Linked DNA regions of Elephas maximus indicus. The protein of the gene in region 3 interacts with the protein of the main gene of each other region in a pairwise test. Links are inferred from orthologs where the notes say so. Each region holds a gene or a part of one and is shown on either strand. Other genes may lie near its edges. The genes, in order: TNIP3, C3H1orf109, LZTS2 and RIN1.

Region 1 (6,949 bases), on a different chromosome or scaffold from region 3:
AAATGGGTCACTTCCCTTCAAAGCTATTTTATGCTGCTTAACACTATGTTACAGAATATGTCCTTTCCTCTCACAGAATTTATACACGTCAGATTAGCAACAGCATAAAATGATTAATTTTCATTACTTACCACAGTAATCTATTAACTGTCCTGCTGGGGCTGTTTCTCTGTCATATAAGGTTTTTTTTTTTTTACATTTTTAGATCAATCAAGGTATATATTTGTTGGGATTGTGCTTTTCAACCACTAGAATAACTTTCGCCCATACGTTGTTTTTATTTTAAAACCATGGGGATAATTAATCTTGGCAGTGCTTTCAAATAAAATTGATTTTTATCTCATGTTACGGGAATTTCAGTAGAAAAACATTTTTATCCTAGTCTCCTTCTTAAAGGCCTTGCTTGCTGGAAGCAAAGAGGGCTTGAAGCACTCACTGATGAAGATCAGAGACCATAGCCTTCAGTATGGATTACACCACAACATAAAGAAAATAAAAATCCCCACAAATGGACTACTATTAATAAGCAATATCATGATAAATGGAGAAAAGATTGAAGTTGTCAAGGATTTCATTGTACTTGGATTCACAATCAAAAGCCATGAAAGCAGCAGTCGAGAAATCAAATGAAGTATTGCATTGGGCAAATCTGCTGCAAAAGAACTCTTTAAAGCAAAGATGTCATTTTGAAGACCAAGGTGTGCCTGACCCAAGCCATAGTATTTCCAGTTGCCTTATCTGTATGTGAAAGGTGGACAGTGAATAAGGAAGACTGAAGAAGAATTGATGCCTTTGAAATATAGGGTTGGTGAAAAATATTAAATATAACATGGACTGCCAAAAGAATGAATAAATCTGTCTTGGAAGACGTACAGTGAGAATGCTCCTTAGAAGCGAGGATGGTGAGACTTTGTCTCAAGTACTTTGTACATGGTATCAGGCAGGACCATTCCCTAGAGAAGGACATTATCCTTGGTAAAGCAGAAGGTCAGCAAAACAGAGGAAGACCCTCAACGAGTTGGGTTGACACAACGGCTACAACAATGGGCTCAAACATAGCAACGACTGTGAGGATGGTATCGGACCAGACAGTGTCTCGTCCTGTTGTACACAGGGTCACTATGAGCTGGAACTGACTTGACAGCACCTAACAACAACAACAATCTTCTTCAAGACATGAGGCCACCATGTGAGTAAAGGGCATTTCTTTTATTCATAGTCCTTCATCCTTCATGAAGCAAATATTTGAAAGATCCAAACTGTCACCACTCCAAACAGATGGGAGGACAATTGTGACTGAAAGATATTCCTCTAAAAATTCTCCTTTATCTAATATTAATGAGAAAGCAATGTTTAGGAATTAATAATTAATGAGCTAAAGCGTAAAGTGCTAAAGAGCAATTTTTAGAAGTTAACTGTCAAAGAGATGTCTGTGGTTTTATCCTAAGCAGGAAGTATTTTATTGACAAAAAGCTTAATAAGCAGCTTTGCCCCTCTCACCATTCCTCACCTCCTCCTCCATTCTTCTCCATAAAGAAGCCTAACACCAGAGAAGAAGGGAGTTTTCAAGGAGTCAGGGTACAGAATTAGATCATTGATCAAGCATCTGGGATTGTTAACTATATCATTCCACAGGTTCCTTTGGCACTGGTATGTTTCAGGTTCCTTTAAGAGGAGGAATTGAATTTAACACTCACTTATTATTTTTCCCTTATTAATGCCTCATTTATCTCATGAAAACTGGGAAATAATATAGTGGATGCAAATTTCAATGAAAAAGTTCAATAGAAAACCAGTGATATACTAATGAAAATAAATACATTGTGGAGTGAGAAAGCAGGAGCAAGCTGAGGGGGGAGAGAGCAATACAGAATGAGAGTGAGAGAGAGAATAAAAAGGAAAGAAAAAGATAAAAATACAAGAGGTTATCTTTCTCCTCTTTCCCTAATTTCCTGGACTATAGTACTTCAAAAATACATTATAATTCTGATTTTTAAAAAATTTCCTGAAAAAACTCAGGGGGACATGTCTGAAAATAGTTTGTTAACATTAGCATTGATCCCTTCCACAAATACTTGCTTATTACCCATAGGATTAAAGCTCTGTGCAGTCCTTACACTGGAGGGACAGGTCAGTAGATGCCATGTCATTTAAATGAGTACTCTCAGAACTTCTACAACAGGGCGGTACCAGAGATTCCCAAGAATTAAGTATCTCAGCATTTCACAGCAGGAAAGTTTGTGACTAAGCCAGAAACTTCATGCTGCAAGATTAATGAAACATTGTCTCTATGCCCAGAGGCATAGGTCTACCTTTGTTCAACGCTGGTTTTTCAAAGTAAACCTTCTCGGAAGACAATTTGATTGGTTACACTTAAATTATACTTAAGCAAGTTTATTTTCCAATCTCCTTTGGAAATTTTTACTATTTGAATAAGCAGCCCAGTGACTTTCTATTTAGAAATACATTCTTTTAGAATTTTCTATGCTTCTCATCACCCTGATTATAGAATACAGCAATGAAGAGTACAGCAAACACACTGTCTGGACACTTGTCGTAATCACTGCTTAATCAAGATTAACCTCCGTAGTATACTAAGAGAGCAAACATAGTAACATTACTCATAGAAGAGCTTAAACTTCGTTATTCTTTACAGAATTTCCAGAAATAACAAGGTAAATAGGATCACATTTATATAGTTAACTGCGACATTTCCAAGGCTTATTTTATCTGAACTGGACAAAAGGGCGAACTGGTAAAAGCTATACACATTTGAAAGGAAAACACACTTGCAACACGTCCTATCTATCTCCCACCTGGAACCCATGAAGCCATATCTGAATTGCTAACATTACCAAACTCAAAACCAGTCACAAAGGCCATTTTAATACGAGCGCTTTAGGCCTTTTAAAAAGAAATTAAGTTACAGAGAACTTTTGTTAAGTAAGCAAAATGAAAGTAAAGGCAGGAGGCACCGTGTTACTCACCATACTCTATACTGAAAGTCCCTCTCAGATCTAGGTGAGTGTACTACAAGGCCTAATGAAGACACGGAGAGGTCGTCTTTATGACTCTTTGAATCAAACAGTAACTCAGTGGTTTAAGTAGAAACATATATTTTGAAAGGTTAATCCACCCATACACAGGGAAACCCCTTTTTTAAGAAAGTCATTCTGCTGCCAAGAGGCTATTAATATTCATTTCTCGGATACAAATACAACCTCCAGATAAAAGATTCACCATCTATGTGAAAAATACCACAGAGGATTCCCTCTTCGTCTTTATGCTGTAATGGAAACACAAGAAAACAATATACCTCTTCAGGCAACCGGGGGTACTACAGGAAATCCACCTGCCCACTTAATGGAAAAGTTCTATCAGCTTAATAGGGCCACAACACATAAACATAAATGTAGAATTAGTATAATTTACTGTAAGGACCATAGGTCACACACTCATTTCTAGGAATGTTCCTCTGTTTCATCTTCCTATTTCTTTCCCTGAGAGCCCTAGCACCCAGGTTAACATTTAAGCAGTCAACCTTTAAAGTAATTTAGAAATATGCCCACTACCTTTTAAAAACAGAAGTTGCTGAGTGTTTTTTCTTACTTAGAGGGGAAATTATATTTATAGTCTTTATGTTGTGTCACTGACATTACAGGATTATGAATTATGTATCTTTTTCTCATCACACTAGAAAACAGTTCTGTGTAATCATTTACAGTGGCCAACCTCTCCAAAGTCATAAAGAACTTTGTACCAGCTTGGGAATGAAATGTTGGCTGACAAGCACTCTGATAGTTCTTGGCTCTCTGTCTCATTGGCTTCTATTGAAGTATTCATTTTTCGGTGCGGCCTGGAGAGATTAAGTAAATGGCCGATAGCATGTTGGCAATATGCTTGGGAGACAGAATGTGCTAGAGTTGGACTGTATGAGGTGCTTCAGCCTCATCGCAAGAGATATTGTTACTTCAGAAAAATAGATCGGCAGATCTATAAACACGGTTGAGAAAGTCAATGAACCACAAAGGGAACTGAATGTTATCATTTTTATGACAAAATGTTATCAATATTAACCTGGGGTGGTGAGCTCATGACTGTTTGTTACATTTTTCTCTACACTTTTCTGTATTTTCAAAAGAAATGCAGTCCGTAATACCATGTAGCTTGCACGCGCAATCACTCTAGAGAGAATGACAAAAAAAAGAAAACCTAAACAGGACCTGGGAAGGAGTCAATCTCTTGTTAACCTTAGTGATTAAACACCTTTGATATGTAAATGTCCTTGTTTTAAGAACTCCTAAAGTATTCTGAATGTCTTTTAAAAAGTCCTCTGAATTAACACAAAATGACATTTACTCTCTGTAAGAAAACTAATTAATGAGTGTTTCACAAAAGTATGCCATTTTAGTGTGATACCCAAAGAGCAAGGAGAAATTCATCAACATACCAACAGCAAAAAGGTTAAAAGCTAAGCCATTCTAACAGACTGGAATTTCTAGATTTAATTAATGCCTACCTTTTCTGAAAGTATTTTCGAAATTACAGAGTGCTCTATAAGTTCATGGCATGATTATTAAAACCTTGAAGGACTACCACAGTGTGTCTAAGGACCATCTGGTCTCAGGCCGTGTGCCTCTTTGATGATCATATATCGTAAAGGATACCGAGAAAGCACCAACACAGGCTTCCAGAGTTCAATGATTCAAGCAGGAAGGTTATTTCCATTAAAAACCATGGCATGGTGAGGCTAGTCAATGGAAAATGAAACAAGACATCATTTTTATTTTCCTCCTGGACGTGTTGGTGGTGATAGTGGGATGGTGGGAAGGGGTCTATAAAACACAGGCCAGAACTTGTTGTTGCTACCTTCCACCATCCTATCTGTGAAATGGAAACAAGCTCTTCTACAGAATGGTATGGTACAGCAAATGCAGAAATGGTTCATAAAGCGCTGTACTGCTCCTTGTATACACTCAAGCCACTTAAGATCAACTGCGTGCAGAAGCTGGCCATCTGCCTACCAAACGATTTTTATTATTCACAAAAGAGCATTTTGTTTTAGTGATTTACCTTCAGGGAAAAAATAAGGAAATGAGTTCAAGAAAATTTAATAAAACTTGAAGACTAGTGCCTGAAGTGATTGATCCAAAATTAGTTTCACATGGCTTGAGGGTACAAGTGCCTGAGGGAACGGGGGAAAAAAAGGGGTGGGGGGGAGAAAATGAGACTGTTCGAGTAAAACAAGCTCATTTAGAGTTGAGTTTGAGAAGAAGAAAACAGTCATGTTCCAGTTTTCTTCCTTTATCCAGCAAGAAGAATATTAAAGAGTCTAAGTGAGGCAGTTTTCAAGCTTTGGGCTTGGGAAAGGGCAAACCCAACCTGTCGCCAAAGATGAGCTGAACGCATCACTCAGTACTAAGGCTCCCCCGGACCTCAGCGTGAGCCTGGTGCGCAGGCTGTCCGCGGGCGTCCTCAGGAAGACAGGCAAAGTGCTTCCACATGCTTGTGTTTGGGAACTAGTCCAGGCACCCTCTGCTCCCTCCCTCAGGCTCCTTTCCCTCTCAGCTTCCCAACATCCCAGATTCCAAATCATGGATAAGAAATGGAGGGTGAGTAGGGACAGTAAATACCATTAGTACAGTTGAAGAATTTACTCTCAAAGGCTTTACCCCATAAGGTTTTTCGAAGAAGTGTAGTAAAGTTCATTTGGCAATGTTTGTCCCATTTGAGAGCCATTTCCTCAGGAGTTATTCAAATTTGATTTTGCCTGTTGGGTGAGAGCTTTCTGTAGATTAGGGACATTTGATGGCCCTCCGGAGTCCTTCCAGAGGGAGGCCCTGGCCTCCTGCCAAACTCTGGTCCTTGTTTTTTGATGAGAGATTCAAACTGGAGAGTCTATTCCCATTGCTTCAGAACATCACCTGTAATATTTAACGGATGGAGGTGGTTGTGCCAGGAGCCTCAGCTGGACCGGATTCAACCTAAAAGGTTAGTTAGCATTGCAGGCTTGTGCTCCCTGCTTCCTAGCCCCATTAATTAGGAATAAGCCTTCGTGTTAAGTTTGGGTTTTCTACTTCATAACATATAATGCCATTTTTTTGCTGTCAGATCCAAAATCCCCATAATGACAAGGAGTAATATTTAGTTGGTTTCATTATTTGATAATTGGATGAAAATAGACATAGAAAAGAGGCCATTTGTCATTGTTTTGTGAAAAGAACACCTCTTCATAAGACTTTGGAAATAGTTATGCTCATGATGGTTAGATTTTTGATTTATTTCTCCATTCCTTTTTTGTCAATAGAACTATCATTTTAAGGAACTCAGTTGTTCTGTGCATTTTTGCTGACTTCCTTTTTACTCTCTCCCCATTATTGTGTGTGCTTTTTTTTTTTTTTTTAACTCTAGTGTGGATAACAAAGAGCTAAACAGCACATAAAGTATTAAAATATCAGATCTCTGCTTTTTCAAATAAGGACTGGAATGAATTTTTGTTCAGCAAAATTCTGCCAAAAGGAGGATATGTCAGGCAAACAATTAGGACAGGAGATGGGGCATAGATCTCCTTTCTGGGGAGGATGAATCACTGATGTAGATAAATCAGAAATACAGCTGTTTGGGACCTAATTCCAGTTATCACGGCAAACCAGGCCCAAAAGATCTGGCAATCTTTAAAAGGCAATCCCAGGTGCTGACAGGTTAGAGAAGTCACAGGAGAATTCTTTGACACTCAACCCCTTTGACTTTTACCCTTAACGCACTGTATTCCTTCCTGTTTTCAATACACATGAAGATATTTTCTCATCCAAATTCAGGACCCATACCTGTTTTCAACATTAAATGTGCCTTTGATCATTTCTGTCTTTCAGGAATTACCACCCAAAGAGCATGAATGTCGAAATTAGGCATTTTGACCAAGTGCTCTAAGACCAACCTTGAATCATTT
Region 2 (7,946 bases), on a different chromosome or scaffold from region 3:
ATTTGTGGTCGTAGTTGATCTGTTTTCACTGCTGTGTAATATTCCACAGTGTGGCTATATCCCAACGGATTTTTCCATCCTCCTGTCAATAGTTTTTTGCTATTACAAACACTGCTACCTTGAACCATTTTGTACATGTCTCTGATGCACATGTCCAAGTTCTCTCTGGACTGTATATGTAGGGATAGGGCATTATAGGGTTGCAGGGCATGCAAACATTCAGCCTTGATATTATGCCAAATTGTTTTCTAAAGTGGTTGCACTTATTTACATACTGTTGGCAACCAATACAAGTTTCTAATGATCCGCATCCTCTCCAGCACTTGGTCCTGTGTCAGACTTCATGTTCTTTATGAGTCGAGAGGTCTCCATAACGGTTCTATCACACTCCTGGGTCCTTCAAAGGGCTTTCAGTGGCCATTCTAACTAAACTTGTTCACAGTGGTGGCTACCACCTCTATGTATGGGTATTGCCAGAAGCAGACATCAGAACAGGTGTTAGACTAGGAATGACACAGGTTTTCATCTCTGGCGTGGCAGGGACTACATGCACAGCTCTGAGGATTCTGAGGCCATGTGGGCTTAGCAAGAAACAGTGCTGTAATAGATTGTGATAGTTAAGGGAAGCCATGTGGGCTTAGCAAGAAACAGTGCTGTAATAGATTGTGATTGTTAAGGGAAGCGAGAGAGGTGGTATCCCTGCCAAATTTCTGCTGTCTCTATAAACAACTGACATGCAATGAAGGTATCACTGGTGGCAGGCCACCAATCACTCACAGTGCCTAAATGAGTGAACACAGCAGACCTGAGACCACTATGCTTAGAAAGGTCTGCTTGCAAAGATGGCCCTTGGCTGGCATCTGGGAACTTGAATTTTGGGAGGGTTCTCAACATTCCCTAATGATAACGGGTCATTGTACCCAAACTCTTTGTACAGACAACATGGCTTATCCTGAGCACCTGCTTTCCTTCTAGGAGTCTAGAATTTTGGTACACGCTAGCCAGAGGGTGCCTATGTGACCAGTCCTTGATAAAAACCCTGGTCGTTAAGTCTCTAAAGAGATTCCCTGGTAGAAAGCATTTCACATGTGTTGCTACAACTTGTTATTAGAGAAACTAAATGTGTCCTGTGTGACTCCACTGGGAGAGGACTCTAGAAAGCTTGCACCTGATTTCCTCTAGACTCTGCCACATGTACCTTTTCCCTTTGCTGATTTTACTTTGTGTCATTTCGCTGTAACAGATCATAGCCCTAAGTATGACTATATGCTGAGCCCTGTAAATCCCAATAAATCACCAGACCTGAGGGTAGTCTTGGGACTCCTGACACACCTACCAATTAAGAGCTTCCATACCCAAGTCTCATCCTTCCCCTGGGTTTTAAGACTAGACTTCTCTCAACCTGGTGTAATAACATTGGCTATATTATATCAGAAGCTCTGATTTGTAGTTTTGTGTCACGACATGAGCAGATCATGTTCCCTATGGAACCTCTTCCACAGTAACCACTCACTGGTTGGATTCTGTGACTGGACTAAAGAACTAACCAACAGTTCAAAAACAGGACAGATCACTTACTGTTGCTGCCTCTTCCAGGGCCTGCTTGTTTCCTCCAAGGGCTTTAAAAAGAACATGTTATTTAGTTATTACAGATTTTGACAATAACTCATCTTCCCTACACTATCAGTTATCTGTCTAAAACTGGACCAGATTAAACCCTTGGTCCAACATTCCAGGGCCTTCACAATCTAGTCTTTCTCCAGCCTTGACTCTTACGCATGACCTACTCTATGTTCCACCACACCAAACTTCTCACCTTTCCCCAGATGTGCCCCCGCCTTTCAGGACTAAGTGCCCTAATACTTATTATCTCTGCCTGGAATACTTCTCTGCATTCAATAAACTCCTAATTCATCCTTCAAAACTCTTCTCAAAAGCCACCTCCTCAACAATGGGCCCTGCTATGTATCAAGCATTCCACTCACCACGTCTCAACCCTCACAACCCTTACTCTACAGATAGGGAAACCAAGACCAGAGAGATTAACATGATTGAGTAACTTGAGGAAGATCACACAGCTGGAATATGAAAGAGCTAGAATTTGAACTCAGGTTTGCCTTGACCCCCAAACTGTTTATTTTTCCCTCACAGTAGGTTGCTGCAAAGTACTGAGTTAGTTACTCACCCTCTTCCTACCCTACAACTACTCAGAGCTGTTTAAGTGTCCACCCTTGCCTTCGCTGTGAATTCCTTGAGAATAACAATAATATCCATAGCTTCTGGCAAAAATCTGGCATCTGGTAGTTGGGTAGTAAGTGTTTGTTGAATGAAGAGGTCTTTGAAAGATTCAGATGTAGAATTAAAGTTAGGTGAGGTTCTCACGCTAGAAACTCTCACAGTATTCTGTATAACAGCCAGGAACTGTGGCTTTGGAAACAGAATTTTATCTGGGTTCAAATAGACTTTGCCACTAATTAGCTTATGAGACCTTGAGCAAAGTAACTACCTTCTCTGTGCCTTAATCTTGTCATCTATAAAATAGAGATAATATTGACAATAAGCTTGTTATGGGGATAAAATTAATTAACATATGTAAAGCATACAAAGCACTACATAAATGAGCTTACTGGTGGCTACTCTGCTCTTATAGCACTTATAACTAAGTATAAAATCATGTGTAAAGTTTTTAATCACCCTTCTACACTAACCTGTAAGTTCCTGAGGCACAATGTCTGAATTTGTCAATGCATCTTCAGCACCTAGCATTGTGACTGACAAATGATCAATGAACACTTGTAGAAACGAGCAAATGAATGAATGAATAAATAAAAGGGCAACTTTGAAAAGATTATTCAATGTCTGCTATTGTAACAGAGGAATCCTTGGGTAGTGCAAACAGTTAATGTGCTTGGCTGCTAACCAAAAGGTTGGAAGTTTGAGTTCACCCAAAGGTGCCTTGGAAGAAAGGCCTGGTGATCTAATTCCAAAAAAAACAACAACAACAACTGAAAACTCTACAAAGCACAGTTCTACTCTGACACCTGTGGGGTTACCATGAGTCAGTACTGACTTGATGGCAACTGGCTACTGTAAACAGAACATGCCTTTCTATCCAGGAAGGAGGCTATAGCCTGGGTAACTAATAAAAGAAAGTGGAAAAGTTGGTTAATGCAGCAGAAAGGGTGCCTACCTGCATTTCCTTGAATCTTTAACAAGGTGGCGGGAGAACAGACTAGGATTTTTCTTTCTCTGGCCAGGAAAACTCTTGTATCTTTACACATCACAATTTGATTTGCCCATTTTCAAACAGGCAATTTTTATAAGCTGCAGAAAAAACTCCCTAGGGCTCACCCTTCCATCTGAGCTCTGGTAACAAACCAAGCTGTTCATGCATTCATTTAATAAAGTTTACTGAGTACTTAGTACCTATCAGATACCTTTCTGGCTACAGATAAATTTCCTGCCCTGTCATTGTGCAGCTTACAATCTTGGTTGTGGATAAAAGGATATGTAATCAACAAAATAGGTAAAATATGTATTAGATTAGATCCGGAATCAGCAAACTGTTCCCACCTGCTTTGGTATGGTCTGTGAGCTCAGAACGTTTTTTTTACATTTTTAAGCAGTTGGAAATAGTACCAAAGGAGTATTTCGTGACATGTGAAGTTCAAGTTTTGTGTCCATAAATGAAGTTTTACTGGAATACAGCCATGCCCATTTGTTATAGCTGTTTTGGAGCTATAAGAGCAGAGTTGAGTAGTTATAAGAGAAACCCTCTGACCCGTAAAACCTAAAATATTTACTACCTAGGCCTTTATAGACAAAGTTAGCCTACCCAGCATTACCCAGAAAAAAACCCCAGCATCAGATGATGATAAATGCTATGGAAGAGGATAAACCAAGGAGAGGAGATGGAAGTGGGGCGGCAATTTTCAACAGTGGTCATGGAAGACCTCACTAAAAAGGTGACATCTGAGCAGGTTCCTTCTGAAGGCAGTGTGCAGTCTGTACCACCGAGGGGTCCCAGACCGAGGCCTGCGGGAAACTCTAGCAGCACCTACCGAAGTAGTCGAGCCAGTTCATCTCGCGCAGTGCCTTGGGGAGCCGCAGGATCTCGATGTTGTACAGGTTATCCATCTCCTTGAGGAGGTTCTGCCTGTCTGACTGAATTTGCTTGTATCGGATTTGCACTGTGAAAAGGCAGAGCCGACAGGACGCGGGTCACCCGGCGGATGCATGAGGCTTAGAATCCGTGCTCTCTGCGTCTCAACCCGCCGGGACCCAGCGATGGTTCCAGGTAGGTGCCACGACCCGGGCCCCGCCCCTTACCTTCACGGTCGAAGTCCTTGAGAAAGGAGGCGAGCTTCCGGCTCCGCAACGAATTGGTCTTAGTCGACCGACTGCTGCCCTTCCTAGCCGGAGCCATGGTGCTTCGGTGGAGGCTGTGGGGACGGGGGAGACCGAATGACAAAGGGTCAGGGAGGAAGGGAAACTAAGGAAACCGCAAAGGAATAGGGGAAGGTGGACAAGGACCCAGAAGGGCCAGTAGGGAACTCCCCTCCTTCAGGGTCTGGGCATAAAGAAGGCGCGAGTCACATACCTGCAGGTCCCAAAACAAGAGCGAGGAAAAACCTCTCCGCTCCACCAGCGAGGAAATCTGCTCTGGGGCTAACCGGACATGCGACCGCCGCCACCAAATTCAAACTTAACTGCTCCAGGCTGGCGAATGAGAAGTCGCCGTCTTAAAAAGGTCCCACAACATCCAATCATTAGGAAGCACTACAATCAAGCAGCCAGTCCACACGTAGAACTACAACACCCAGAAGTCATTGCGGCTGAATGACGTATTTCCTCAGCGCAGGGGCCGCCTTGGCCTGAGGTTGCGCTTTACGAGCGGGTGGGCGGGGTGGGGACGAGGAATCGCTTTTGGGCATGCGCACAGAGATCCGCGTGTCATCGATGTTTCGTTGCGGTGACGGTAAATTTGACCTCTGATTTAGGGAAAGCGGTGAGCAGCCTCAAGAAGCAGAGACAGGATTCCGGCTCCAGTAGCACGAGTCTGGAGAGCGAGACAGAGCCTCGGCCCCGGGAATCCGCAGTCTGAAATAGGAGACCGCCCTATCCCTGGAGAAACCTCCTCTGAGGAACAGTCGGAAACGCTTCCTGAGGTGGGCCACAGGGGGCTTCCTTCAGAGAGCCGCTTCCGGAGGTAAGACGACACCTCGCGACAGGAACTCCTGCCTGAAGGAATGGACAGCCTTACCTGAGGAAGCGGGCTTGAGGGCGGAGGCTGAGAACGTGTCCTGACACGAGGACGGACGTAACTCCCGACCGACCTGGGACCTAACGCTGCTTCTGTTGGTTTGCACAGACGATGACTCAGGACCGGCCTTTGCTTGCGGTGCGGGAGGCCCTGCGGCAGTGCTTCCCCGCGGTGGAGGAGCAGCAGGGCCTGTGGCGGAGCACGCTGAGCGACTGCCAGCCCCTCGTGGCCTCCCTCAGCAACCTGGCCGAGCAGCTGCAGGCGGCCCGGAACGTGCGGTTTGACGACGTGCCGCCACTTCGCGCCTTCCCAGACCTAGAGGAGCAGCTGAGGCGCAAGCAGCTGGCTGCCGGTGACACCGTCCTGGACAAGCTAGGGGAGAGGCTGTAAGGAGCTCGGTAGATTTTAAAACTGGGTGTTTCATAAGAGATGAATCTGTTAGAAGGATGACTCTGTCAGAAGGGTGTTTTTCTCTTGCGAGCACGGCACTTGGAGGTGTCTCAGCCTTCCCCCCTTTCCCTCTGTTGCAGTGGGACCTCTGTCAAAAAGCCATTTTCTGATATTTCTCGGCAGAGGCTAGGCCTGACAGTGGTGAGCTTAGTAGAGGTACAAAATCTGAACAGAAAAAGAGCGGAGGAAGCTTGTTAGCACTTTGTATTTTCCTTTCTTTCTTTTTTTATTCGGTAAAAAGCTTGTTGTGTGCCATCGAGTTGATTTTGCCTCCTAGTGAGCCCATGTGACAGAGTAGGACTGCCCCATAGGGTTTTCTAGGCTGTAATCTTTATAGGAGCAGATCACCAGAAGCAGATCACCAGGTCTTATCACCAGGTCTTTCTCCTGTAGAGCTGCTGGGTGGATTTGAACTGCCAGCTTTCGATTAGCAAATGAGCGATACCTGTTGCACCACCAGGGCTTCTTATGGGAAAAAGCTACAAAGAGCTGTATTCTAAACTTAGTAGGTGTCAGAGCTAAGGGTTTTACATACATTACCTCATAAAACCTTTTTAACACCTCTGTGGCTTAACCTCAGTCAATCCCATTTGGTAAGTGCAGAAACTGAGGCTCAAGCAAATTGCCCATAGTCACAACTAGTAAACGGAAAAGCTGGGATTCTAATCCCAGTCTGCCTGACCCCAAGGCCAGAGCCTTCAGCCACCACTTTGTTCTGCTATGCACTGGTCTCTCTGTGCCCAGGAGTAGCATGTCTCCAAGTTCTGATCTATGCTAATTGTTAGACCTTCTGTCTCAGAGTTACAGACTGTTGAGGACAGGAGAAACAAGGCACATGTGGCCATTCCTTGAAGGTTCCAGTGTACAGAGTTTATGCCGTGGACTAATAGGAAACCATCAAATTGGGGACCATCATTTGTTCAAAGTACACATATCGAGCACCTATGGGATGCCAGGCATAAGGTGCTGGGAACATATCAATGAACCAGACTCAATTCTAGTTTCTAGGAGTTCTCAGCCCAGTAGAACAGATAGACAATCAGTCGATTAAATTATGGTATGTCCTAAGATAGTGGGGAAACCCTGGTGGTGTAGTGGTTAAGTACTACGGCTGCTAACCAAAGGGTTGGCGGTTCAAATCCACCAGGAGCTCCTTGGAAACTCTATGGGGCAGTTCTGCAGGGTCGCTATGAGTCAGTATCAACTCGATGGCACTGGGTTTTGTTTGGGTTTAAGATAGTGGTAAGTACTGGGAGTTACAGAAGCATAGAGGTACATGTTTAACCCAAACTGTGAGGAGAGGAGGAGCTTCTGGGAGGAAGTGATGCCCGAGACCTGAAGGATGAGTGGGTGTTAATGGATCAGGACGTGGATATGGGTATTGTTGCAAAGACAATGGCTGGCATAGAAGGGGCGGTAAGAGATGAGAGGTAAACCAGCTCATGAAGGTATGTGTAAGCTGTCGAGGACCATATGGTTCTAGATATTTCTTTTGCTTCTGGATTGAGGGTACTTTGATGAGGGGTAAGGGCAGAAATCCCCAGGAACCTCTTGCTTGGTCATAGACACATCTCTATATGGGTCAGCTCCTTAATCAGTAGTAGCTGTTAAAGAGCTCCCTGGGAATCAGAATTATTCGTAATAGCCAAAAAGTAAAAACAACCCCCAAAATGTTCATCAGCTGATAAATGGATAAACAAAATGTGATATACCCATATAATGGAATATTATTCAGCAAATAAAAAGAAACAAAATGCTGATACTTGCTACGATACGTATGAACCTTTAAAACGATATGCTAAGGGAACGAAGCCAGACACAAAAGGCCACATTATTGTATGATTCCATTTTTGTGAAATGTTCGGAATAGGCAAATCCATTGAGACAGACAGTAGATCAGTGATTGCTAAGGGTTGGACGAAGGAGTAGTGGAGAGTGACTTCTAATGGGTATGGGGTTTCTTTTTGGGGTGATGAAAATGTTCTAAGATAGAGGCGATGTGTGCACAACTCTGAATATACTAAAAACCATAGAAATTTACATTTTAAAAGGGTAAATCTTATGGTATGTGAATTTTATTTCAATTCTTTTTATTTTGTTGTTGAGAATATACACAGTAAAACATATACCACTTAAACCATTTCTACATGTACAATTCAGTGACATTAATTACATTCTTTGAATTGTACAACCATCCTCACCCTCCTTTTCTGAGTTATTCCTCCCCATTATT
Region 3 (7,211 bases):
ACAAGGAACTGCAAACAGCATCCATTTTTGGCTCAGCCAAAGTGAGTGGCCTTTGGAGGAGCCCAAGCTTTGGGGAGTAAAGCGGGCAGATGTGACCAGGGACAGCCCTCATTCAGGCTTAAATCATTTCCTTGGCTGTCCTTCTGGGGAGGCAGGAGGCAGCTGCCTCTGGGGCCATGACATGAAGAATATATATGCTAGGAATACATGGACTGATAATAGTTGGTCCTTTGCCCTCTTTGTCTTCCTTTAGTGAGGAAACAAGATAGTAATTACAACTCAGAATGATAAAAGCTGCAATTGGCAGCACAGGTATTTGGGGAGCAAAGAGAAAAGCTCTGAGTCAGCCTAGGACATCTGAGGAGACTTCCCAGAGGAGATGTCAACAAAGGTTGGGTTGAGTTTTGACAGAAAATAGGTTAGGTAAATAAATGGGAGGGACTTCAGGGCAGCAAGACCAACCAGATCCTGAAGCTTTCAGGTGTACAATGAGTGCTTATTACATGCCAAGTCTGGGCTGGGCACAGGGAATACAGGGTGAGGAGCACAAACTATGTGCCATCATGGAACAAGGAGCTGGGGAAGAGAATAATGTGGAAGTGGAAAGATGGTGCTTCCTTTATTTAGAGTGGTCAAGAATGGTCTCGCTGGTGAAGTGTGACTTTTAGACTGGGAATGATGAGAAGAAGCTAGGGTTGAATGGGATATCCAGCTGTGGAGAAGTGTTAGAAGCAGAGGGAGCAGCATACACAAAGTCTGAAGACAGCAGGAGCTTATTATCAAGGAAATGAAAGACTCAAGTGGCCCCAGCATCATGGTCAATAGTTGAAAGAGTTGTGGTGATGGGGGAGGTACTTTTCCCTTCTCCCATTCTTGCTACTTCTCCCCGTGCCCCCAGCCTTCCGTTCTGCTTCTCTTATATGTCTTCTCATGCCCGGCTTCCTCCTTCTGCCCCCCAACTCCCAGGCAAGCCAGGAAGCAGACAACGTTCTGATCCTACAGGACAGGAAACTGGTAACTGGGCCAGGGAAACGGTATTTGCAGGTCTCCAAGAACCGCTTTGATGGAGATGTAGGTGTCTTCCCGCTCGAGTTCAACAAGAGCTCCCTCACCTTCTCCGTCCCACCAAAGAGCAAGACTCGACTCAAAAAGATCAAGGACGACAATGGACTAGTGGCCAAAAAGTCCTCTTCTGGCAAAAAGGGGACTGTGCCTCAGAACTCTGAGATGTGCCTGGACCAGATCCCCAACCCCTAGCAGCCAGACACCTGCCAGCCTTCATGGTGAGGGCAGTGCAGAGCTGGACATTGAAATGAGCCTGACAGGACAGGTTGGGGCAAAGACTCCTGGCTTCTGACCACTGACTATGGTGCTGAGCTGTGGGCCCTTCTCAGTCTGAGGGGCCTAGGCTAGGTGGTGTTCCGTAATGAGAGAATTAGCAGGTATCTGAGAACCTACTCTGTACCAGGCTTTGTTCTGGGTCCTCAGGATAGAGCAATGAGCATGACAGATGTGGTCCCCACTTCCATGGGACCTGCATTCTGGTGGGGGAGATGAGGCAAGCAATGAACAAATAAGCAGAAAACATAATTTTAGATAGTCAAAAGCGCTAAAAACACAGCAGTAATGTGATAGTGCTTGCAGGCTAGTTTAAACGGTGGGAAAAGGCATTCTGAGCAGAGAAATTTGAGCGGGGGTCTAACGGACCAGAAGGAGCAAGCCACGTGAACATCAGAAGGAAGATGAGATCCCAGTAGCCCGAGTGTTAAGTACAGAGGCCCTGAGGTGGGAATGATCAAGTTTAAGACAGCGAGGTCATGCCTCTAAACCTGGAGGGGAATGAGGGGTTCCTTGTCAAAACTCCTGCCGAGGTTTTCAGATCCAAGGGGTGATATGGTGGGTGCCAGTTCCTCTGCTCCCTACTCTATGGAGCCTGTCACGAGAGGGCATTTGCTAGAATTGGCATCCTAGGTGCTTGGCCCTGGAATATCAGGGCCCCAAAATTGGGAATCACCTCCTCCTGGATTTCTTAGCAGCAGCCACAGAAGGAAGCTGTGAGCCCAGAGTGTGTGCCCCCTGGACATAGATTCCAGGGTTTGCTGCCTCAAGTAGGCAGTGTTTCTGGAGTAGATACAGCCATGAATTTTTACAGCCTTTTCCAGTTTTACTTAAAAAAAAAAAAAATCCCACTGCCTTTGTTTCTGTGCTTTTTTTAATTTGTCCACCAGGTGTCTCCAGTCTATAACTGGACTCTCCTTTCACTCTGGGGATGGATGGGTCCCTTCACCATTTCCAGCATTTGAGCTGAGGGTTCCCAAGGGAGCTAGGTCACCGAAGGGTGTTCATTCCCCCTACCCCCCTGCCTTGCACCACCACCACCGCCTCTTCTGGGTATCCTTATCCTTAACTTCCTTGAGCTCCATGTGATTCCTGACAGCGCTGTGGATCACTGGGCCACATGCCCAGGCCCTGCCTGACCAGCTGTCCCTCTGATGTGAGCCACTCAGTGGCCTCCCTCGATGTGGGCTCTGCTCAGCATATTCTCTCTTGATGTTTCCCTTGTGTTAGTGCATACCGTGACTCCTGGGGATCCTGTTAAAAATGCAGAACTTAGGCCCTGCTCCCCACCCCCATCCTGCCACACATACATTTCTAATTCTGGAGTTTGGGGAGGGGTACAGGAGTCCTCATTTTTAACAAGCCGTGCAGGAGGTTGTAAAGTAGGCAATCCACAGACCCTGTCAGAACTAGTGTACCTAAATGATGACACTTTCCCACCTCATTTCCCCGGCTATCCTAAAGTTCCAGCTTCCCTTTAGATTTGCCTATTCGTTTTTGAAACAGTGGTGAGAACATAAGGTGTTCTGAAGATGCTGGGAGAAGCCCTTTGTAAGGGTAGGGTGAAAGCTTTCCTGCTCCCTGGAAGCAGGGCTGCCTTGTCAAGTTCTCCCTGTCGACCTAAGGGGGTGCTTCTGGGACCCTGTGGAAGGGTATGGGGTCTGGTCTGCAGAGCATGGGAACAGTGACCACAAATGTCTCCTGGGAAGACCTGGAGCAAAGCTGCTCCAAAGCTGTTCTCTGTGGGACAGAATATGGAAAAGGGTAGCTCCTCCAGGGCCTCCTTTCTTTGAGGGGGTGGGGGGGTGTCTGTCTCCCAGACTGGCTGGAGCCAGGCCTCCCTAATCCCGCAGTAATCATTCCCAGCCGCTGGCTGGTCTAGGCCTCATCCAGGATCTATAACATTGGATGTCAGCCATGCCTTCCAGACTCAGAACACCAGGTCAGTCCTGCCTATGAGGACGTGGGCTTGACATTCTGGTCTCTTAGAAGCCGGATTTGTTCTCAGGAAATCCTCAGAGGTTCCCTCCTGGGAACCTCTGAGGTTTTTGTGGGAATTGGGGATACAGGGATGGATACATACTTGCCTGTTTGTCTTGCCTCACCCTCCTAGCAGACACCCCCACGCAGCAGAAACCAGAATGATGAGGGGGAGGGGAAGATAAATACTGCTAGCCCCACCCCCTACCCAAACATCTTCCACTCCACACCTGCCTTAAACTCCCCATATCAAGATATGGCCCTAAGTAGATACAGGAGCTCCTGGAGTGTAGAAAGCAGTGGAGACCCCCGGGCCCTATTTAAGGTCCCTGGAGGCCCGCTGTCCACGTACCCAGCCAAAGTGGACATTACCTGGGATAGAACCAGCTCTGCCTCCCTCCAGCTAGATGTAAGAATCTCCCTGAGAGCTCAGAGAGAACCTGGTCAAGTGAGGTCCTGTCCTCAGATTGACACTGTGCCTCATACTTGATGAGAGGAAGGGTCTCCAGGGTGAGGGGGCAGCTTTGGCCTTCCAGCAGCTTCCCGACTACTGTGGATGGGTTTGAGAAAATAGGAAACTCACTGGAGTCTCCTACAGCTCAAGTACTCAGGCTGCAAATATGGCCCAGATACCTGCAGACACAGGCTGCTTTGGGTGCCATGGGGGGAGGAAGTCCTGGGTGCCTCCCTGCAATACAGGCCAACTTCCTGTTTGTGCATGTGGGTGGGACTTTATGAGTCTAAGGGAAGCTTGGCCATGCCCCATGGGAGCCAGAACTGGCAGGCCTCCTCACCTGGGCTGACACCTACTCCAGTCAAGAGGGTGGCGCTGGTTCTGCTTGGGCAGCCCCAAGATGAAGTGGGGGGAGGGCTGTTTTGGTGAAACCCGAGACTTCTTTGTCTGTTCCCCAGGGATTTTCCCTGTTTGGGAAGTGGGCTGGGAGTGGACCAGATTGGGCTCCCTATGGAGCAGGGAAGGTGGCCCCGTCAAGCCCTATAGCCAGCTTAGTTAGGCGGCCAGTAGCTTAGCTCTCGGTCACGTGCTGCTCGCCCCTTCCCTAGGTTGAAAGCCAAGTTCAGGAAGCTGGTGAAGTCAGAGGCCAGAGGAGCAGCCTCGGGCCACTGTCCAGCTTCTGCTGGGTACTGGGTTGGCTCTTGAGGGGGTGCCGGGCAGACCACTCCCCTCCCTGGGTCGGGGGCGCGGCCTCAGCCGCCCCGCCCCGCTTCACCAGGCCGGGCCAGGCGGGCTCCCGGAGCCCTGAGCGGGCTTGGAAGCCGGCAGATCTGCCGCGCAGAGGTTCCCCCGCTGGAGCAGGCACCGGACTGGAGCTGGAGCGCGGTGCAGGTGGTGCTGGGTGAGTGGCGGGACTGCGGAGGTGTAGGAACTCCCGCCTCCAGCACATTCCTGCTCCGGAGCGAACTTTCCCCGTCCCGGAAAGCTGAGGGCTGGGGTGAAGAGGGAGGTCCCCACTCCATGGGGGACAGGCAAGGAACTCTGCACAAGGAGGCGAGACAGAAACTTGCACTGAGGGGCTCACACGCGTGCTACAGAGACACGCACGCACGTGGGACACGAACACACGTGCATTCAGAAAAGGAGGTGCCCAGTGGGTTACCCTTGCAGTCTCAGGGACAGCGCCACCGGCCCGCGAGGACCCCCCCCCCCGGGCAGGGCACTCTCCTGTCGCGTACTTGGTAGGGGCGGGGGAGAGGGGCAGCCCGGTGAGCGCCGACGGGGGCGGACCGGGTGGGACGCATCGGGAGGTTCCAGCTTCCCCACCGCAGCCAGGTGAAGACTGAGACGTAAACAGGCGCCGAGCACGTGATTGTGCCATAGCCTTGTGGCTGTACTCCCCCGACTCCTGCCACTTGCAGGGACCCCCTCCCCAGGCCCGGGCGAGCTTACACGGTTCCACAATGGGCAGTATTCCATTCTACGCCTCGACCTTCGAGCGGTGATAAGCCCTCCCCCAGAAATGGGAGCACAACGCCCCCTAGAGCCGGGGTGGCACCGAATTGGAGACTGTTGGGCGGGGGTGGGATTAACTGGGCTCCTCGCCCTTCCTCCCCTGAACATATTCGTAGTGTTCCCATCCCTGAAGGTATGAGGGGGTACTCTCCTTGGTAGCAATGGACAGCTGCCCCCTACCGCCCGGTACTCCCATCCCAGGGAGCAGCTGCTTGAGTGTCTGTGGATCCCCTTCCTACCACCCCATCCCCTCTGACAAGACTGGGAGTTCCTCCCCCGAATGGAGGAACAGAAATCCCACCCATGCAAGAGTGGAAGCCCCCCCACCCCCGCCAGAGAGCGCATGAGTATAAACAGCCCTTCATACCGACTGGGCCTACCCCCTCTAGCAGAAAGGAGTCCAAGCTCTCCCCGAGGGTGGTGGGCAGCGGTCCTCTGTCTCCCTCTCCGCCCCCACGCCGCCCCCCTACACACATGCTGAGCCCAGCTGCTGCTTGAGCTTCTGGGCAGACTGCCGGGAAGGGGTGGAGGCACTTGGTGTCCCTGGAGGCTGGGATCAGGAAAAGGCCAGACAAGGGGGTCTCTTCTGGGGAGGGGGCCTCAGGCTGTTCTTGTGAGGCAAAGGGTCTGGGATGAGCCTGAGGGTAGCTGGGCTGTGATTCCCTTTCCAGGGAAAAAGAAAAACAACCCTTTCCATAGAGCTAAAAATAGAGCTGAGAGCCGGCCAGGGCTGTGGCCTGGAAGGGGGGATGCTCTTTCCTGGGGCGGAGCCGAGCTCTGGCAGGCCTTGGCCCTGGGGGACAGGGAGGCCGTCCTTGCCCAGGGGTGCCAGCATCAGCTGACCTGACCAGGTCATAGAGACCCTTGAGGGAAAATCTGTGTGGAGGAATATGTTTGTAAAACATAATGTGTATGTGTAAAAAGTTGTCTGTGAGCAACTGTGAATAAGACTGTCAATGTCTGAAAGATCGTTAGGAGACTAAGTGTATTTATTTAAGATTTTGACTGGATGTGAAAGACTGCAAAACAAGGCGTGTGACAGTGTGCATCTGCGTGAATTGGCCTCAAAGATATGAGAAGAAGGAACATGGGACCATGCGATGGATGAGACCGTGTGAGATTGTGGATGTGTGAGACTGAATGTGGGGAAGACCGTGTAGGTGTTAAGAAGACTGTTTGTTTGCGAGAGGCTGAGGATTTTTGTGACCCTGGGAAAGGGAGTAGAATGTTGTTTGCCGTGAGGCTGGTGTAGGTTTGGACTGTAGGTTTGGACCGGTTCACCCCAGTGATTGTTGGGGGGCCAGGGGCCGCCTCTGTCCAAGCGTCTTTGCAAAGAGTTCCGAAGGAAGCTTGAGGAGAATGGAGCCGTGCCAGGGACAGACCTAGGCTCGCGAGGAGTGGGGAGTGGGATAGGGACTCCCATGAAGGGAAGGGAGGGAATGTGTGGCTGGGTGTCTTCTCCAAACTGGACGCCAGGTGGCGCCGCCTCCGCAAATCCAAGTGTGCCGCCGGCGACCCACTGCGGGTGGGGCAGGCACCGGCCGAGCCTCGCCCCCAGACTTGTGCTGGGGTGCAGGACCCCGGCAGACCGGGAAGGGGGCATCTGACCCTAGGCCTCCCCGTATGGACTCTAAAGCTGGAGAGTGTGTCTTGGGGAGAGGCTCCGACTAGCGAAGCGGAGGGGGAGGGGCAGCCGCCGCCGCGCCGGGCCCTTTGTGCTCAAACAATGACCAGCTGCCGCCGGGCCCGGGGCCCTGGTTGAGGGGGAGAGGGTGACCCGCTGCCGCCGAGTCCTGAGCCCCCGAGCCCACAGACACTAGTCCTCGGTGGGAGAGAGCCTGGCTCCCGCCGTGCAGGTCCCGCGTGCGCCGGACACGCGTGACGTGAAGGTTCTTGCGCGTGTCCGCGCCCGGGGGCGGGGCCG
Region 4 (7,315 bases), on a different chromosome or scaffold from region 3:
CGCTCTGCCAGTGCCCAGCACTCCTCTGCACGTAGCTGCCCTGACTGCACATGGGTGCAGTCATTGGCCCTGCTCCTTGAGGTCGCCAAGAGGACTGACTGAGAGCAGGCATGGAAGGGCCCAGCCCAGGGCCAGGCATGCAGTGAGGGGTTGGGCAGAGTGGGCCCCATGCCCTCCTGTCCCTGCTCTCTCCCCAGAACGGGAGGTGCGGGCCGGTACGCCCACATATGGTCACCACAGTCCGCTCCGTGTCCACAGCACCTATGTTCCTTCTTCATGTCAGTTGCTCTGCCAAGAGGCTACTGTGGAGTCCTCAGGAGGCAGCAGCTGTTATCATCACCCTGTCATCCCCCCCATCACCCTCCCCCATCTGCTGAACAAAGGAAGCACCTGGGGCTCACAGCAGTGCAGTGCCCTTTCCCATGGTGCACAGCTGTGCAGTCCGGACCTGAACTCAGGCTTCCCAGCTCAGCCCAGAGTTCTTTGCCCCAGGGGAGGGGAGGACAAAGGCAGTGAGGGTGGGGGGCACCCTTGAGGGCTGGCACCCTGACCCTGCCTCTGGGGCACAGAGTGGTGGGATGAGAAACTGCACGCCAGAGGCAGCTCCAGGACCTGGGACTCCCTGCCACCCAGCAAGAGGAAGAAGGCACCGCTTGTCTCCGGTATCCTTCCAGCCACGGGGGCCTGAAGCTGGGGGGGGCAGCCAGGGCCAGCTCCAGACCCGGGGACACGGAGGACAGAGGACCAACACGTTCATGGTCGTTTGGTGTCATGTGATCATGTCCAGGCAAACTCAGCTGTCAGAGATTTATTGTGGCGTCCCAGGTCTCCCGGGGAAACCGTGGTGGGGAAGTGGTTAAGAGCTGTGGCTGCTAACCAAAAGGTTGGCAGTTTGAATCCACCGGGCGCTCTTTGGAAACCCTGTGGGGCAGTTCTACTCTGTCGTATACGGTCGCTATGAGTCAGAATTGAGTTTGGATTTTGGGGTCTCCTGGGCCCTGTGGACTGTAGAGAAAGAGAAACGTCAGTCTTGACTCCCCAGGACTTCCTGAGTGAGTTTGGCCTTTGGTCCCCGTCTGGGTTTCCCACGATGTCTCCCCAGCCACTCACTCATCCCCAAGCTGGGCCCAGGCTTCCCCACCACTGTGCCTTTCCCAGGGTTCCACCCCCTCTTTCTAGCTTTCTCCACCTTCTCATTGCTCATCTCATGTGTTGCCTCCTCCATGAAGCCTCTCCTGTTCTACTCTAGTGGCCATGGCTTTTCTCTCTGCACACCTGTGGCCTCCCTTCTGGGGTGACCACATCCCATATGGTAGAATTGGGCTCTGCCATGAGCCCCTCTAGTCCAGGGCTGGCCGAGTCACCACCCTGGGGATCCCCTTGGTATGTCCCAGCCCCCGAGTTGAATTCCCAGGTTCCACCAGGGCATTCCTGGAAGAACCAGCTCCTCAGGTCACCTTGTGGCGGAGCTGAGGTGCAGGCAGGTAGGAATTGAGTGAGTGGAGGTGAGGGCATGGAGACATCAGTGCAGAGTGCAGGAGGGAGAGTGGATGGTCCTGGGTGGGGGGGGGGCAGAGGATACTTGTCTTCAGGATGGAAGAGGCCGGAGTCTGTTTTGAGATGGGGGAGAGGGCCAGGAGAGGGAACAGGTAATGAAGGCGGGAGCGGGGAGGAGAAGGAGCAAGTCCTGGAGGTGGGGGTGCACCTGGGACAGCAGATCTCGCCTGAGGAGAGGAGGAGAGAGTGAGCCATGGGGCTGCAGGGGTGGGCTGCCCCCTCCCTGTCCTTGGTGAAGTAGGAATGAGCTGCCTTGCTGCCAGCCAGCCAGGCGCTCTCGTAGGGGTGGAGCCTGAGCTCTAACCCAGATTCTCAACCCCTGACCCCACACTGTCCCTGCACCCCCTCCCTGGCCGTTGGGTCGGTCTTGAACTCAGTGGGCTTGGCCTGCCGCATGTCACCTGCCCCTGCCCTGGGCGTCCTGCTTCCTTGACACGGGTGCAGGCCCATACATCGTGTACATGCTTCAGGAGATCGACATCCTGGAGGACTGGACAGCAATCAAAAAGGTGGGCCCTGGGCTGCCCCTTCCCCACCCCAGCTTCCCTACATTCCTGTGGGATATGGGCTGCCTTAGAAGGGAGCACTGTTAGTATGCCGGCCCCTTCCTTGCCCAGGTTTCGATGCAGTTGGGAAGGGAGGGAGGGAGAGGGAAGGTTGGAAGGCAGCAGAGCTGGCTGTCTCTGACAACAGACCCCATCAGAACTTGGCTTACAAAGGTCTTTTGCTGCCGCCTCCACCCTCCTCCACCTGCCTCAGTGCAGCCCCCATCCCCAAATGGGCTGATGTCGGGTGGTGGTTAGGGGGGGCATCTTGCCAGGCTGGGGGCAGACTTTCAGGAAGGCTTTTCTTCTCACCTACCCAGGCTAGAGCAGCTGTGTCCCCTCAGAAGAGAAAATCAGATGGTAAGACCCTCAGATCCTCAGACTGCCTCCCACCCCATCCCCACTGTCACCTCCCTCAGTTCAGCATCCAGGAAAGAGGCCAGAGAGAGGCACGGTCATGTCACAGTCTGAGGCCACGAGAACCACCTAGGCTTTGGAGGTTCTGTGGGAGTTTTGTTAGCAGGAAACAAGGTGGGCGGTGGGGAACTCTGGGTTGATGGAGCTAAGGAATGCTAGAGATTGGAGAGTGCACCCAGCTGGGGCTGGTGGTGGCGGTGGGCAGGGGGGTGCAGCAGCCCTGGTGGGCCTGGAGTACTGGGATGAGAGCTGTGGTGAGGTGACCTGCATGTGGAGGGGCACCCCTCTTCTCACCTCAGTGTTTTTCCCCTTTCTGTGCACCGTCCAGGACCCTGACCTTGCTGTTCCCAGCCAACGGGTCCCTCGGAGCGGCTGGCACCAAACCCAAGACTCACGTTTTCCTGCTGCAGAAAGGTGGACCGACAGGCCCCTCAGATCTGCCTGGCGGCCCGTGGGCTCTACAGGGCTGTGGCCGGGCTCCCCATCCAGCACCACCTGCCTCAGTTCTTTCTCTGCCCTCCACCGGGGTGGCCACCACTGTGGGCCTGGGGCTGACCTGCACAGACCAGACTCTCTCTCTCTCCCTAGCCAGCCCGCCGCCCCCTCCCAAAGACCACCCTCCTCCGTCCTCCCCAACAAAGAAAACATGCCTCATTTAAGCCAAACGGCATCTTCCTGCTGACCTTGGGCCCTGATCAACAGCCCTGAGCTGGGCTCCACTGCCTAGGGATTCAGAGCCATAAATTATATTTGAGGGGCTCTGTCCTGGCAGGAGGTGGAGATGAGAAGCCAGGCTCCCCAGGTTTTCTCAGGGTGTCTCTTCGTGTCTGCCCCCCAGATGGTGGGGACTGGAATTAAACCTTTCCTGGGATTCTGGTGTGGCCTGTGTGTGTCTAATTTACCTGGGGGGAATTGGGGCTTCTGTGGGAGCACCTGAGACAGGCAGACTCTCTTGGTGGCCCTGGGGTATGACACCACCTCTCCCTGGCCCACGGGAGCCCGCCACTCCGACCTGGGGTACAGCCTGGGGACGGGGTGCTCTTCCATACACCGCCCCCCTGGAGGTGGGGGCTGGGCCCTGGGCTACTGGTGCTGCCGGGAGTCTGAGCAACGTGTGGCCGCACAGGCAGAGCATGTGACCTCGGGTGGGGAAGGGGGCAGGGTGCTCTGTGCTTGGAGATGGTCATGTCTGCACCTGCCCCAGTCGCTTGGCAGATTGGCAGGACCTGTGCGGGGGAGGCAGCCGGCAGCAGCGCCATGTGCTGACGACCTCACAGCCAGACTCCCCCCTGTTTAGCGCCGAGTGCTAGAACCACCCCCAGAACCTCAGTTAAGCAAAGGGGCTAGTTGCCATGGAGACACAGCATCCTTTCTCCATGGCAACCTGAAATTCCAAAGCCCAGGTTAGATTCAGACGTGAGTCATGTTACCAGTAGGGGGCACTCTGCCACTAGTCTGACCTCAAGGCCAGGGAAAGATGAGCAACTGACCACAGACTTAAAGGTTCCTCAAGGGCTGTCTGGGGCCCGTAGGGACCTAGACGCGCCTCTTAACCCCTTCCCGCCCAAGTGTGTAGTTTGAGGGAGCCAGCGAGGCTTCGGGAATCTCTGTGAGGAGGTGGCACCCCCACTGCTGGGGCCCTCAGAGTGGCAGTAGCACGGAGGGGGTCCCAGCCCCCTGAGGGTGGGCCCAGAACAGAGGAGGCGGCACGGCCCTGACAGAGTGGACACACAAGAGTTAACGGGCGGGGTGTGCCAGGGCGCACCGCCTTCAGGAAGTGTTACTCACCACCGGGAATGTGAGTGCCTGTGCCTTGGGGGCTGGCTTCCCTTCCTGCGTCCCGGCGGGTGCAGCCGGCTGAGCGCCCAGCCATGGAAGCCCCTGGGGAGCCGGGAGCAGACCCCCTCGGAGCCCCCAGCCCAGCCGGCCGAGCTCCTGCGCACCTGGAGGGAGAAAAGTTAGTGAAGTTGGCAGGGCCGCAGGTGGGTGGAGGGAGGGTGAGGAAGGTCAGCCCAGGCCGAGGGCGGGAGGGTGCAGGCTGGGCGAGCGTCCCACCGCCCGCCCGGCTCAGTGTGCCCGCCCCCAGGCCAGGCCCGGACCCGCTCTACGACGTCCCCGCCGCCAGTGGAGGACAGACGGGCGGACCGCCGAGGCCCGGACGCACAGTGAGCCTTCGGGAGCGCCTGCTGCTCACCCGGCCAGTGTGGCTGCAGCTGCGGGCCAACGCCGCGGCCGCCCTGCACGTGCTGAGGACCGAGCCCCCGGGGGTGAGCGCTGCCCCGCCCCCTGAGGCTGTCCAGCCGAGGGTTGCGGGGGACCGAGCTGGAGGTCCTGTGCTGTCAACTCCTGTCCCCCGCAGACGTTTCTCGTGCGGAAGTCCAACACGCGCCAGTGCCAAGCCCTGTGTGTACGGCTGCCTGAGGCCAGCGGCCCGTCCTTCGTTTCTAGCCACTACATCCTGGAGCGCCCCGGGGGTGAGACGGCTGGCAGGCGGGAAGGGGCTGGGAGCAGCCGGTGGGGCGGTTTCCCGGAGAACACCTCCCTCACTTCCCATCTCTCAGGCGTCTCCTTGGAGGGCTCAGAGCTCGTGTTCCCAGACCTGGTCCATCTCATCTGCGCCTACTGCCATGCCCGGTGAGTCTGCCCACAGGTGCCTGGTGTCGGAGGAGCTCTGCAGGTCTGCCCCTGTAGACACCAGAACCCTTCACTCCTGACTTTCTGCTCCCCTCTCCGGCCCCAGGGACATCCTTCTCTTCCCGCTCCAGCTCCCCAGAGCCATCCACCAGGCAGCCACCCACAAGGAGCTGGAGGCCATTTCCCATCTGGGCATTGGTAAGGGCGCCTCTGCCAGCTATCGCACTTACGGACACACTGAAGCGGTGCGGTCCTCTCCCACGGTTGGGTCTTGACTTGGAGTCTCTTCCGCAGAGTTCTGGAGCTCCACCCTCAATACCAAAGCTCAACAGGGCTTCGGGGACGGCCCGGTGCTACCCCGGCTGAAGCCCCGGTCCCCTCAAGAGCTGGACCAGGGCACTGGCGCTGCCCTGTGCTTCTTCAACCCCCTATTCCCAGGGGACCTGGGCCCCACCAAGCGGGAGAAATTCAAAATGAGCTTCAAAGTGCGCGTGTCCACAGAGACCTCCAGCCCCCTGTCTCCACCAGCTGTACCACCTCCCCCAGTCCCGGTGCTGCCAGGGGCCGCCCCCAGCCAACCAGACAGGCTGCCCCCATGCCAGCTGCTTCGGAGGGAGAGTTCAGTGGGCTACCGTGTGCCGGGGGGCACCGGCCCCAGCCTCCCTCCGCTGCCCTCCCTCCAGGAGGTGGACTGCGGCTCCCCCAGCAGCTCGGAGGAGGAGGCACCGCCGGGGGCCCACGGGAGCCCAGCGACCTCCCCCAGCCTGGGTCGCCGGCGGCCCCTGCTCCGCTCCATGAGTGCTGCCTTCTGCTCGCTGCTGGCGCCCGAGCGACAGGTGGGCCGGGTGGCCACGTCGCTGATGCGGGACCGCCACACAGCAGTGGGCCAGCTGGTGCAAGACCTGCTGACGCAGGTGCGGGCTGGGCCGGAGCCCCGGGAGCTGCAGGGCGTCCGAGAGGCACTGAGCCGGGCCCGGGCCATGCTGAGCGCCGAGCTGGGTCCCGAGAAGCTGCTGCCGCTCGAGAGGCTGGGTGAGGCCCCACTAGAAAGCCCAGTCTCACCCCAGCTCTCCAGAATCCCAGTTCTCCCCTCCTTCGGCTCTCCTCCCCACTATTTCCTCCTGCCTCCTGGTTCTGGTCTCTGCCATACGTGTCCACTTTGCCTTTCCACCGTTCTAGCGAATTCCATCCCCACCTCTCCCCCACTCTCCAGGCTCACCAAGATTCCTCCTCCTTTCCATCCCTCTCCCTCCCTGGTTCTGCCCTTCTCCCCGGATGCTGCCCCATCCTGGTCCTGACTCCCTGACCCCTGGCGTGTCTTCTCTGCAGAGCACGTGCTGGAGAAGTCACTGCACCGCTCCGTGCTCAAGCCTCTTCGGCCCATCTTGGCCGCCCGCCTGCGGCGCAGGCTCTCTGCCGACGGCTCCCTGGGCCGCCTGGCCGAGGGCCTCCGCCTGGCCCGGGCCCAGGGCCCCAGTGCCTTTGGGACCTGCCTGGGCCTACCCTCCCCCGTAGAGGTGGAGCAGGTACGCCAGAAGTTGTTGCAGCTGCTCCGCGCCTACTCACCCAGCGCCCAGGTCAAGCGGCTTCTGCAGGCCTGCAAGCTGCTCTACACGGCCCTGAGGACCCACACGGGTGCGCCCCTTCCTCCTGCCTCACAGATGGGGAAGCTGAGGCCCAGGGAGTAGAGCACCCTCTCCCCAGCCCCTCCACGTTGTAACCATAGGGATCACCCTGAGCTTATAGCAGATGGGGGAGTGTCACTTCTAAGGCTAGCAATGGGCCCTGACTCTGGGACCCCAGAGGAGCCTGAAGCCACCCCCCACCATGTTCCCAAAGGGGAGGACACAGGTGCTGACGAGTTCCTGCCACTGCTGAGCCTGGTCCTGGCCCAATGTGACCTTCCGGACCTGCTGCTTGAGGCCGAGTACATGTCAGAGCTGCTGGAGCCCACCCTGCTCACTGGAGAGGGTAAGGGACTCCTTACCCCCACCCGCCCTCTCCCTTCCCAACACAGGACCTCCCTGTCTGGGTGGGGCCTGAACCTTGGCTTCTACCTGGGCCAGTTAAGCAGGGAAGGAGGAGAAACAGTAGGTTACCCACCCCTAGACTGAGCCACCCTCTTTCCCTTGTGTCCCAGGTGGCTACTACCTGACCAGCCT

What was found.
Region 1: the proteins of LZTS2 (region 3) and TNIP3 interact in binary tests that used the Homo sapiens proteins (3 or more experiments, as listed by UniProt). The two-hybrid records come from large-scale screens. The link is inferred for Elephas maximus indicus from reciprocal best matches to the Homo sapiens genes LZTS2 and TNIP3.
Region 2: the proteins of LZTS2 (region 3) and C3H1orf109 interact in binary tests that used the Homo sapiens proteins (3 or more experiments, as listed by UniProt). The two-hybrid records come from large-scale screens. The link is inferred for Elephas maximus indicus from reciprocal best matches to the Homo sapiens genes LZTS2 and AIRIM.
Region 4: the proteins of LZTS2 (region 3) and RIN1 interact in binary tests that used the Homo sapiens proteins (3 or more experiments, as listed by UniProt). The two-hybrid records come from large-scale screens. The link is inferred for Elephas maximus indicus from reciprocal best matches to the Homo sapiens genes LZTS2 and RIN1.

What each region holds. Positions count from the first base shown.
Region 1 is NC_064823.1:26,174,132-26,181,080, reverse strand, and holds the start of TNIP3 (TNFAIP3-interacting protein 3), read right to left. Parts: upstream 3,016-6,949; 5' UTR 2,991-3,015; coding exon 2,988-2,990; intron 1-2,987. UniProt on the Homo sapiens protein: Binds to zinc finger protein TNFAIP3 and inhibits NF-kappa-B activation induced by tumor necrosis factor, Toll-like receptor 4 (TLR4), interleukin-1 and 12-O-tetradecanoylphorbol-13-acetate.
Region 2 is NC_064821.1:79,284,636-79,292,581, reverse strand, and holds the start of C3H1orf109 (ribosome biogenesis protein C1orf109 homolog), read left to right. Parts: upstream 1-4,943; 5' UTR 4,944-5,209; exon of another isoform or gene 5,210-5,371; 5' UTR 5,372-5,374; coding exon 5,375-5,649; intron 5,650-7,946. Other genes in the region: CDCA8 (borealin), read right to left, coding at 1,579-1,619, 4,062-4,190, 4,330-4,426. UniProt on the Homo sapiens protein: Part of the 55LCC heterohexameric ATPase complex which is chromatin-associated and promotes replisome proteostasis to maintain replication fork progression and genome stability.
Region 3 is NC_064834.1:52,643,633-52,650,843, forward strand, and holds the start of LZTS2 (leucine zipper putative tumor suppressor 2), read left to right. Parts: upstream 1-4,198; 5' UTR 4,199-4,673; intron 4,674-7,211. Other genes in the region: TWNK (twinkle mtDNA helicase), read left to right, coding at 1-41, 967-1,257. UniProt on the Homo sapiens protein: Negative regulator of katanin-mediated microtubule severing and release from the centrosome. Required for central spindle formation and the completion of cytokinesis.
Region 4 is NC_064825.1:129,480,496-129,487,810, reverse strand, and holds the start of RIN1 (ras and Rab interactor 1), read left to right. Parts: upstream 1-4,308; 5' UTR 4,309-4,390; coding exon 4,391-4,476; intron 4,477-4,605; coding exon 4,606-4,786; intron 4,787-4,878; coding exon 4,879-4,993; intron 4,994-5,080; coding exon 5,081-5,153; intron 5,154-5,259; coding exon 5,260-5,351; intron 5,352-5,447; coding exon 5,448-6,185; intron 6,186-6,482; coding exon 6,483-6,788; intron 6,789-6,992; coding exon 6,993-7,124; intron 7,125-7,293; coding exon 7,294-7,315. Other genes in the region: BRMS1 (breast cancer metastasis-suppressor 1), read left to right, coding at 570-662, 2,002-2,066, 2,423-2,462, 2,848-2,855. UniProt on the Homo sapiens protein: Ras effector protein, which may serve as an inhibitory modulator of neuronal plasticity in aversive memory formation. Can affect Ras signaling at different levels. First, by competing with RAF1 protein for binding to activated Ras.